Linked DNA regions of Oryctolagus cuniculus. The protein of the gene in region 1 purifies or fractionates together with the protein of each later gene. This does not show direct contact. Links are inferred from orthologs where the notes say so. Each region holds a gene or a part of one and is shown in the gene's direction. Other genes may lie near its edges.

The links.
Region 2: the proteins of NUP153 (region 1) and TNPO1 purify together in Homo sapiens (co-immunoprecipitation; 3 studies listed by BioGRID and IntAct, with this or other methods). This does not show direct contact. The link is inferred for Oryctolagus cuniculus from reciprocal best matches to the Homo sapiens genes NUP153 and TNPO1.
Region 3: the proteins of NUP153 (region 1) and NUP50 purify together in Homo sapiens (affinity purification with mass spectrometry; 8 studies listed by BioGRID and IntAct, counting the BioPlex papers as one, with this or other methods). This does not show direct contact. The link is inferred for Oryctolagus cuniculus from reciprocal best matches to the Homo sapiens genes NUP153 and NUP50.

The regions. Positions count from the first base shown.
Region 1 is NC_091436.1:144,923,825-144,928,089, reverse strand, and holds the start of NUP153 (nuclear pore complex protein Nup153), read left to right. Parts: upstream 1-1,403; 5' UTR 1,404-1,425; coding exon 1,426-1,536; intron 1,537-4,265. UniProt on the Homo sapiens protein: Component of the nuclear pore complex (NPC), a complex required for the trafficking across the nuclear envelope. Functions as a scaffolding element in the nuclear phase of the NPC essential for normal nucleocytoplasmic transport of proteins and mRNAs.
Region 2 is NC_091445.1:38,084,065-38,087,711, reverse strand, and holds part of TNPO1 (transportin-1), read left to right. Parts: intron 1-1,094; coding exon 1,095-1,266; intron 1,267-2,958; coding exon 2,959-3,045; intron 3,046-3,647. UniProt on the Homo sapiens protein: Functions in nuclear protein import as nuclear transport receptor. Serves as receptor for nuclear localization signals (NLS) in cargo substrates.
Region 3 is NC_091442.1:119,931,608-119,934,806, forward strand, and holds the end of NUP50 (nuclear pore complex protein Nup50), read left to right. Parts: coding exon 1-7; intron 8-1,425; coding exon 1,426-1,544; intron 1,545-2,229; coding exon 2,230-2,432; 3' UTR 2,433-2,644; downstream 2,645-3,199. UniProt on the Homo sapiens protein: Component of the nuclear pore complex that has a direct role in nuclear protein import. Actively displaces NLSs from importin-alpha, and facilitates disassembly of the importin-alpha:beta-cargo complex and importin recycling.

The DNA.
Region 1 (4,265 bases):
CCCACACAGACACACAAAGTATAAAGTACTGTTGAATAGTAGTTTTACTGTTAATTTACATAGTACAACACATTAACGACAGAGGTCCTACATGGGGAGCAGTAGTGCACTTATTTTCTTAAACATAATGCCTGCTAGTTGAAGCATGTGTATGTCTATTACGCGTATATATTATGTATATAATATGTGTATATGTCATGTGTATATATGTGTTATATAGTACTGGGATATCACCTAACCTGTAATGTCAAGTCGACTCCATAGCTTATAACTGTGATCACGTACTGCATTTCTTGCATACCAGGAAATATGCACAGATGATTGCATCTGCTCCTCACAACAGCTTGTAAGGCCTACTTTAAAGCTTTCATTTTATAGAAGAGGAAGCCAATGCTTGGGTTTTGAGTTATCCAAGGTCAAAGAGGCAGAGCCCTGTGGGTTTGACCACGAACCCCTTATATATCTAACAAAACCTTAGTGAAGCTGTACATAATGTCTAATTCTGCTTTAGGCCTAAGAATCATGGCCACTTTTTCTCAACCAGTTTTCCAATTTTTATTAGAGATCATTAGCTCCTGTGTTTGATTTTACTATCTTCTTCCTTTCTGCCCGGGGTAGGAGGTTACTATTTTTATGTTACATGCCTCTTCAGAGTCTAAATTTACAGCCAAGAGCAGCAAGAACACGGCTCGGCCGCGCGCCTCGGGTCTCGCCCTCCTTCGGTTTGCCTCAACCGCCGACTTCCTTTTCCGTTCTTCGTTGAACTACGTTTCCCAGCGGGCCGCGCGGCCGAGCGCGCGGGCTCCACCGGTCCTTCCTTCCTCTTCACCTATCACCTGGGCGCAGCGTGATGATGCAAACGCGTCGGGCGCTTACGAATGACGCCGTTCTGGCTCGCGACCGCGGCAGCGGCCTTAGTAGCGGCAATAGGCGCAACGGCGGCGGCGGCGGCGGCGGCGGCGACTGCGGGGACTACGACTACGACGACGGCGGGGCGGGCACTGTGCGCAGAGGGGAGGGGTAGGCGGGCGGCGCCGGCGGCTTCAACTGCGGCAGCGACGGCCAGGGCGACGGAAGAAGAACCTCCAGCAGCCGGCGCTCGAGTTAGGCCTCGGCGACGTCCGCCGCCGCTCGCGGCATTCTCCGCGGCGGATCTCCATAGAGACTGTGACATACACAGAGGCGGGAGTCCGCGGGAGGCTGCCGGACGGGAGCCAGCTCCTCGGCCTCTGCAGTCGGCCTGCGCGCACGCTCTTTTCGCTCCGGCTCGCAGCCTCGCGGTTCCCGGTGTGCCTGCGCCCCGCTGTGTGGGCAGCGCAGACTGACTTTTGGGCCGGGGCCGGGCGGGGGGGGCTCTAAGGCGGTCGCCTCTGCCTCTCCCGCCCCCTTCCCCGCCCCAGAGCGGGAAGCAGCCGAGGCTCCGCCATGGCCTCGGGGGCAGGAGGAATGGGAGGGGGCGGTGGCGGCAAGATCAGGACGCGGCGCTGCCACCAGGGGCCAGTGAAGCCTTACCAGCAGGGGCGACAACAGCACCAGGTACGGGACCCCGACGCCGCCGTGGCCTGGGGGTGGGGGAGTCGGAAACTCGGCGGGAGCGACCGGGGAGTGTGAGGCCCTGGCGCCCCACGTGGAGCGGCCGGGAGGGCCTGAGTAAAGGCCTGGAAGCCCAGGCCGCTGGGGTGGCGACGGGAAGTGGGCTAGGACGGGCCCAGCCCTGCGGCGCACACGTGTGCTACTGCCCGCCTCTCCCCGGCCCTCTGGCCCAGGGGCTTTCCCGGGGCGGAGCAGGGCGGGAAAAGAGTGTCTAGGCTTAGGATGCGCGTATTTCTTCATTTTTTTGGGGTGGGGTGGGATGGGGGAGGGCAGGGATTGGGGGTTTGAAGATATTATGTCCTCTGGAGAGAAAAGAAAAAAGCCGTGGCGAGAGGCCTTTATGATTTCTGGTGACTCGAGTTTCAGAGCGGGGGCTGCCCGGAGTGATCGGCCCCCCGAGGCACGCGGGGGTGGGGGTGAGGGTAGTCAGTGTGAAACGGAAGGTGGAATAACTTAGTCTCAGCCTATTGAATTCTCGGAGGGTCTGAGGGTATTGGTTTAGGTCCCCACCGGCTTATAGTTATCATGGCACCGGGACATTTTGAAAGTCCCTCTCCACCCTTACGTCTTTTCTCTGCTGCGCTACCCCCCCCCCCCTTTATTTTGGAGGCTGGAGTTGGCCATTCTCCACAGTTGACCGGGATTCCAACTCTGATCTCATACACAAAATATTTTAATATTATGGGGCGTATTCTACAAGTTAAGGAACTTTTGATACTCCAGTAATGTTGGTGGTCTTATGATTTAGCCACTGTGTGCATTCTCGAGCGTTTACAGTTAATAAGTTTATCCTAATTGTAATTGAGACATTGATTCTGAAAAATTCCGTTTTTCAAATGCTACTTGTTAGAAGGACAGAGTAGGAGAACGTTAAAACCCTATTTTAATAAAGCCACTTATAAACTTTTTCAATGACACTAAGGTGGGAGATGTGTTAAACTTGTTTAAAAGAAATCAGGAGGGTCTGATAGCTTGTTGCATAATGTTAAAGGTAGACTTCCTTCATTATTCTGGGTTATAATAAAGAATTGGACTATTTAGTATGTTTGGTTGTGCTAAGTTGTATCATTATCAGATATTTGAAAGTAAAGATTAGAGGGAAACTGGTGTATGTGTTAAGTTGTTCTCTACCCGTGGTTACAATGCTTGGCGTTACTCCTACCAATTTTCCCCTGATACGTACAGAAAGTGCTTGTTTTTCACATTTCTTTGTGAGGAGCAGGGATATTTGTAGGCAGATTTAAGATTAGAATTCAGGTCACAGCCTGGCTAAATAGCCTAACCAAATGCTTTTGTGGAATGGAAGTTAGACAGAACATGGTTTCTGTTTCTCCCAAGAATAAATGTCCTAGAGTGCTTTCTTAGAACTTGTTTTATCAGCTGTAGAAAAGTGAAGTGTTTGGCATAGATTTATGGATGATTTGGACAAAGTTTAAAATCAAGCTAATGTAGTCCAGGTGTCAAAGATTGCACTTAAAGCTTATTTTTGGATGTATTTACCTAAAGTAATTTTCGGAGAAATCATGCCCAAATTATCACTGATTTTCAGACGGTGTGGTTTTGAGAATCTGATAATTTATCATTGCCCCCGTATCTAAAATATTTTTTGGCTTTTTCTTGCCCCATGTATTTAAAAAAAAATTAAATAGCATTTGAATCTTAAAATAAAGTGCTTTTTTAGTCCTTGCTGGAACTTTGTTGGACCTGACTGCTATCTACTATTCTAAGCTGTCAACTGCATGTTTTGGAGCAGTTGCTGAGTCATCATGAATAGCAAGGAGCTTTATGACATGGCATGTTTAATAGTAATTTTACTTGATTAAGTGTCTAAGGGTTTTGTGGACAAAAATGAAGCTTTTAGTTGTGTAATATAAGATTGGAATAAGAATGAGAGGTCTGGCACTGTCAGTTAATGGATGTTTGCCCATTGAGACCAGCTAGCTAGTGCAGTTACCCAGTACTTGAGACTTCTGCATGTGTTCATTTGACTTGTGATTTCCTGTTTTGACTTCTGATTTAGCTCTGCTGTGAAATGTCTAAAGTTTAACATTTTTTCCTTTAATGTCTGACCTTTAAATTGTCATTTTGCTTCAAGTTGTGGAGACAAATCTGTTAGGTTGCTCAACTACATAATGGGCAGTAACTGTTTAATGCAAGTTGATAATTTTCCCTTGTCTTCTCCCCCATGCCCTTAGGAAATGGTGTCATTTTTTTCTAGTTGGGAGAATGGGGTTAGTTCTGTTCGTTCTCCTTTTGGATTTGTGTGTGTATGGGTGAGTGCAGATTGTCAGGCTCAGACCACTCTGGGGAGAGATCAAACTTTCCTTAATAGCTGCCGCATAAAACTTTAAGCCCATGGTCAAACTAGAACCTTGCCTTTGGAAGAACCTACTGCCACCTCCTGGTCAGAGGAAATTGGGTATTTTTGCCCTTTTTTGGAGGGTGTGCTTCAGAGATATGTCTTCTGGTTTGGAGTTAAGGGAATCCATGTTGAATCATCCTAGATACAGTTTTTATTTTACAAGTTCCTACAGCCAGCTATTTTAAAAAGGGGGGACCCCCCCATCAATAGCTTAGATCAGAATCTGATGATGAACTTTTTTCTGTAAAGTGTCTGGATAGATACTAAATTTGTAGGCTCTGCTGTTGTAAATTATTCTTGGTTTTGTTTT
Region 2 (3,647 bases), on another chromosome or scaffold:
TGGCCTGGAAGAGGGGCAACCGGGACCGAATCCGGTGCCCCGACCGGGACTAGAACCCGGTGTGCCAGTGCCGCAAGGCGGAGGATTAGCCTAGTGAGCCACGGCGCCGGCCTCAAATTTAATTTAAGTACTTAGACTGAGACTGAATTTTTTCCTTTCTTACATATTTGTCCTCATAGTTGAAATGGCACATACTGTAAATTTATAGTAATGTTTGCATTGCTAGGCATCAGTGCACTATGTGTATCTTAGACTTGACAAGCTGCAGTACTGCTGTGTTCTTCCACATTTCAAACACTGAGCATTAGAATGATTGTCATTTTGTTACCCTTGGTATGCACCTGAAGGGTAAAGTATAGAGCTTAAATTTTTTTTTTTTTGGACAGAGTGGACAGTAAGAGAGACAGAGAAAAAGGTCTTCCTCTACCGTTGGCTCACCCTCCAATAGTCACTGTGGCCGGCGCACTGTGCTGATCCAAAGCCAGGAACCAGGTGCTTCTCCTGGTCTCCCATGGGGTGCAGGGCCCAAGCACTTGGGCCATCCTCCACTGCACTCCCTGGCCACAGCAGAGAGCTGGCCTGGAAGAGGGGCAACCGGGACAGAATCCGGCGCCCCAACCGGGACTAGAACCTGGTGTGCTGGCGCTGCAGGTGGAGGATTAGCCTATTGAGCCATGGCACCGGCCAGAGCTTAAATTTTAATCTAGACTTTCTTTGTTCATCTAGAATGGTTGCCAGAATGTAAGCTTCCTGAAAATGAGGGTATTGTTTTGTTCATTTTGTCCTAGCACTCAGTGTCTAAACATCAGATACACTTGTTGAAAAAGGATTAACAACATTTATAGTTCTAGAATTTACCATTGTAGCTATGCAGATGCCAGTGGGTGATAACCTCTTAGAAAGGAAGAAGTGATAAGAAATGAGAAAAAAATAATAAAAATCAGCATTTATGTGATGAGGCAAGGAGACAGGTATGTAAAGTTTAGTTTCAATGGATATTCTATAAATGAGATTTAGTTTCCTGTTGTGAACCACTATTGCTTTTATATAACATGTTTATTAATCTTTTTTTTTTTTTTTTTTTTTTTTTACAGTGCCTTTGCTACCCTGGAAGAGGAGGCTTGTACCGAACTTGTTCCTTACCTTGCTTACATACTTGATACTCTGGTCTTCGCATTTAGTAAATACCAGCATAAGAACCTGCTCATTCTTTATGATGCCATAGGAACTTTAGCAGATTCGGTAGGACATCATTTAAACAAACCAGTAAGTATCAGTTGATCAATTATCATGGAAAAGCGATGGAGTATGGTTATAATCAATGTTAAGAAATAAGCATTTTTGGAGATAGGAAAGGCAACACGTATATCCCCCTCTCAAGTAGGATTTCAAAGATAACTGCATACTTGTGAAAACTACAGCAACATCTCATGAATGCACCAATGCTTATTCCTCTCTGTCCTTTTTGATTTTTTTTGGTTTGGTTTGGTTTGGTTTTTTGTTGTTGGTTTGTTTGGGAGATAGAATGCAAAGCCAGGACCTGGGAACTTGATCCAGATGACAGATACCGAACTCCCAGAGTGTGCATTAGCAAGAAGTTGGAATAGAAAATGAACCTGGAGGCCGGCGCCGCGGCTCACTGGGCTAATCCTCCGCCTTGCAGCGCCGGCACACCGGGTTCTAGTCCCAGTCGGGGTGCCGGATTCTGTCCCAGTTGCCCCTCTTCCAGGCCAGCTCTCTGCTATGGCCTGGGAAGGCAGTGGAGGATGGCCCAAGTGCTTGGGCCCTGCACCCCATGGGAGACCAGGGGAAGCACCAGGCTCCTGGCTTCGGATCAGCGCGATGTGCTGGTCGCAGCGCGCCGGCCGCAGCAGCCATTGGAAGGTGAACCAACGGCAAAAAGGAAGACCTTTCTCTCTCTCTCACTATCCACTCTGCCTGTCAAAAAAAAAAAAAAAAAAAAAATGAAGCTGAACTCAGTCACAGGAACTTCAGTATAGGATGTGGGCCTCCCAGTCTGCATCTTCACCAGGCCAGATATCTGCCCTGCGCCAGTACTTTATGAAAGAAAAAGGATAGTAATGCTTTTAGATGATGAATTTTCAACTTTTAAATTTAAAGGGTTTTGGGTCTCTCACTTCATAAACCTTGTAGCTTTAGAGTACCACATCTAAACATTTTTTTCTCCAGGCCATACAGATATGGGGAGCACACTATTTAAAGGAATAGAAAATGGAATAATAGATTAAAACTGTTGAATAATGGTCAGAAGTACCTTGTCTCTAGGAGTGTATATAGTTCTCAATACTCTGCTGAAGAATAGAAGATTTAATATGTGATTGCATTATGATTCGGTTACACCAAAAATCTGGGATGGCACAGTTGCTGTATTGATTTCTTTAGTGCTTGTAGTTTTGGTTGGTCTTTGGGGGGTGGGTTTTGTTTTCTGAATATCTTTAGAGTCTGTTCCCTTTGTTTACATGATTTTTGTGGTTATTTGGTTCTGTGAGTTATTCTTCAGTTTAAATAAAGACACTTAAATGATTGTGAATCTTTTTCTACAGAAGACTCTAAATTTTTTCCTGACAATTTATAATACACTTTAATAGCAACAGCCATATTACATTTTACCTTAGGACTAAGATTCTGTCACTGGAGAGTAAAATATATATGGTTCTTCTTTGTCATTTAACAAGTGATACATTTTGATGTGACAGTGCACTTACTTATATATGTTTTGTTTCAAAAAGGATATTACTTAAAAATAGAACAATGTTTTGTAATTAAAGATAGGCAAAAGGAAGAACTTTAAAAAGGACTATGTAAAGCAAAGGATGAACCTTAGAATCCCTTCTGTAATTTTATAGGGTTGCTCTAAGTGGATTTTAATTTTCATAGACTCGAAGTAGACATGTTTATGATAGTGGAGCTTTATATGTTTTTTATCCTTGTAAATAGGAATACATTCAGATGTTAATGCCTCCTCTGATCCAGAAATGGAACATGTTAAAGGATGAAGATAAAGATCTCTTCCCTTTACTTGAGGTATGCTGGGCTGGTAATATTTAAGTTAATCTAACACTGTAGTTCCTCAAAAATAGATATTATAATTCAGGATAGGTGTATACTCTAATAGGTAATATTAATACATTGACATTCAAACCCATTTCTTTTGAAATGCTGAATATGTATGTAACGTTGTAACTTTGATTTCTATACTAAGAAAAACTTAGATAAGAAAAGCAAATGGGCCGGCGCCGCGGCTCACTAGGCTAATCCTCCGCCTAGCGGCGCCGGCACACCGGGTTCTAGTCCCGGTCGGGGTGCCGGATTCTGTCCCGGTTGCCCCTCTTCCAGGCCAGCCCTCTGCTGTGGCCCGGGAGTGCAGTGGAGGATGGCCCAGGTGCTTGGGCCCTGCACCCCATGGGAGACCAGGAAAAGCACCTGGCTCCTGGCTCCTGCCATCGGATCAGCGCGGTGCGCCGGCCACATCGCGCTGTCCGCGGCGGCCATTGGAGGGTGAACCAACGGCAAAGGAAGACCTTTCTCTCTGTCTCTCTCTCTCACTGTCCACTCTGCCTGTCAAAAAAAAAAAAAAAAAAGAAAAAAAAGAAAAGCAAATGGACATATGCTTTTAATTCAGTTTT
Region 3 (3,199 bases), on another chromosome or scaffold:
CCAAAAAGTAAGTGACAACCAGACCACCAGGAGCTCCGGGGGATGTTTGCAGAGACGGGCGGGCCACTGGACCAAAGCATGGGTAGCGGGGTCCCCTCTGTCCCGGGGCCCGCTGTGCGGCAGTTCCTGGCCTGTCATTGACACACACCAGGTCAGAAAGGTGCTGGGCACAGCTGGCCGTTTCCTGCTCGAGGGGGTGTGGTCTTCCCCTCAGCCTCATTTTATCTCATCCTGTCCTCCTCCCCCCACTACCCCCACAAAGAAAATCACCTGTTAGCGGTTTCAAGATTTGGTTTTATAAGACTTATTTTTCACTTTTGAAAGGCAGAGTTAGAGAGAGAGAGACAGGATTCTTAAGCCTGCTGGGTCACTCCCCAATGGCTGCAGCGGCAGGGACTGGGCCAGGCTGAAGCCAGGAGCTGAGAGCCCCATCCGGGTCTCCCACATGGGAGCAGGGGCCCAAGCACTTGAGCCATCCTCTGCTGCGCTGTGGAGAGCTGCTGGTCTCAGAAGAATCCCTGAAAGAAAGTTGAATGACCTCATCTCCACAGAGGAAATCAGCCCAGACCACTGTTGTTGTTTTAATGTATCGGGGCCGACGTTCTGGCGTAGCAGGTGAAGTCGCTGCTTGGCATTGTCAGCATCCATACGGGCGCCAGTTCTAGTCCCGGCTGCTCCACTTCTGATCCAGCTCTCTGCTTGTGGCCTGGGAAAGCACTAGAGGGTGGCCCAAGTCCTTGGGCCCTGCACCCACATGGGAGACCCAGAAGGAGCTCCTGGCTCCAGATCAGCACAGCTCCGACTGTTGCAGCCATCTGGGGAGTGAAGCAACGGAAGGAAGACCTTTCTGTCTCTCACTGTCAAAAAAAAAAAAAAGTTTGATGATAGAGATGACATGAAGGAGTGACTGATTTTTTCTAATTAGCATCAATCAGAGGAGCATCTGGTGTTTTTGTGAATTACACCCCAAGGAAATGCTGTGGGTGCTCGGAGCCACTTGACGGCTCTGGCTCACGGGACCCTGTCAGCATGAGGGGACATCAGCACTGAAGGTGCCTTGGGAATTAGGAAGTTCCACGGAGGGACGACAGTGGGCTGGGGGAGAGGCGCACAGAGCGCCTGTTCCAGCTCACCAGGGCCAGAGCAGCAGCGGGGAGGCGTGCCGCGTCTGGCTGTGCCCGGGCGTGCTGGAGGGAGGATGGTTTTAAGACGTCCTTGCGGGAGCTTTGTGGGCTCCGCTCTGAGAGGATGGGAGAGGCTGTGCAACACCTGGCCAGGGCTTCTCGCTTCGTCCCAGAGCCAGTCATTCTGGAACGTTCCAGCGTGTCCCCAGCGTGTCCCCAGGAGCGCCTGGTGGCCGCTGCAGGACCGTGTGACGTGCTTTGGTGCTGAGTGGCTCCTCACGCCGACGCTCTTTCTCCACAGGTGTAAACTATTTTACAAGAAAGACAATGAGTTTAAGGAGAAGGGTGTGGGCACGCTGCATCTGAAGCCCACAGCCAATCAGAAGACACAGCTGCTGGTGCGGGCCGACACCAACCTAGGTGGGTGTGCGAGGACGGGCCCGGTGCACTCACGGCTGTGTTGAGCGGTCGTCGAGGCCAAGGTCATCCTTGCTGTCTCCAGGACAACTCTCAGTCCCCTTTTGTTAAACGTGAGCTGGCAGAGTAGGTCAGGGGTTTAATGCACACCAAGAGGAGTGAACCATTGACGGGAGTCCTTTTTAAATGGCTAGTGGTCACTGGCACATGGCTGTCCACCCCTCCCTGCCCGGCGTGTGACCCTGGAAACCGTCCCCAGAGAGGAAGTGCTGGGGGCGGCGCCGCAGGCTGGAGGTGAAGTCAGCAGGGTAGCGGACTCCTCCGTGTGCCCGAAGACACCCGGGGGAGGGCGCATTCTTAGCTCCCGTGCGCTTGGCCTGTGGGCAGTGGCACCCGGTGATCTCCCTGCGGCCTTGTGAGCCGTGCTGGGCCCCAGGACGGAGGTGCCGGCCCGCGACCCTGTGCTCTGCCGCAGGCGCGCAGTGAGGGAGGGGTCGCAGGAGGCCGCTCCCCCAGGGCTCTGGCCGCCGCAGCCGCCATCTGTGCCCTGGAAGCCCAGGGCCTGGTGTGGAGACTCCGGAGGCTCCGCGCCTAGGTGTGCCGAGGTGGCAGCAGGAGCCGGGTGGCCCGCTGAGGACCTGCTCCCGCTGTGCCGGTGCCGTTTTGATGCGCGTTGTCGTCTCTGCAGGCAACATACTGCTGAATGTGCTGGTTCCACCCAACATGCCCTGCAGCCGGACCGGGAAAAACAACGTGCTGATCGTCTGCATCCCCAACCCGCCCCTGGACGCGAAGAGCGCCAGCACGCCGGCCACCATGCTGATCCGGGTGAAGACGAGCGAGGACGCCGACGAACTGCACCGGCTTCTGCTGGAGAAGAAGGACGCCTGAGCCCGGCCGCCCCGCCCCCGGCGCCGCCTGCTCCGCTCCTCACAGTAGCCATCACTTCAGACCGCGTGAGAGGATTGATAAGCCAATAAACCTTGGAACGTTCAGTGTCAAACCGTGTTCTCCCCCCGAGAACCACTGCGTAAAGCCCGCTTGAGTGACGTTTTGGGGAAGATTTTTAAATGTTCGTCTGTTATTAAACTATCCATAAGTGATTTCTTACGGACTGGAATCAGGGTATCGATGCGCTCCCGAGAGCTTTTCCCGGTGGGCGCTCGGCAGGGCCGGCCGCTTCCCGAGGGAGCCGTGCCGTGCCGTGCGCGGGCGGGCCCTGTGCCTGGTCAGCTGTCGTTCAGCCAGAACACGGGTGCCCACGCCCGCCTCCAGCAGGAGCGTCACCACCTAGGGTTGGTTCGCAGGCGCTGGCCGTGGGCCTCGGGAACCGCTCGTTCTTCTGGTGCGGACGGAGTGGCTGTGGACGGTGGCTGTGTGGTTTCACTTTGCGAGGTGCTGGACTTCATCCTGCAGACCACGAGGGTGGAGGGGGTTGCCAGGAAAGGTTTTAAGAGCACAGCTTTGGTGGCTTGCTGCTTTCTGGACTGGACAGTAAGCCCCGGAGAAGAAGTGGGGACATCGGCGGGGACGCGGACAGGCGGTGGCCGCAGGGCTGGGGCAGCTCCGGGGCCGGCAGGGTGGCTGCCCTGGGGGCGGGGCGGAGGGGCCGCGGGCTGTGCGTGTCCCGCCCTCAGCTGTGGGTGGCCTGGTAGACA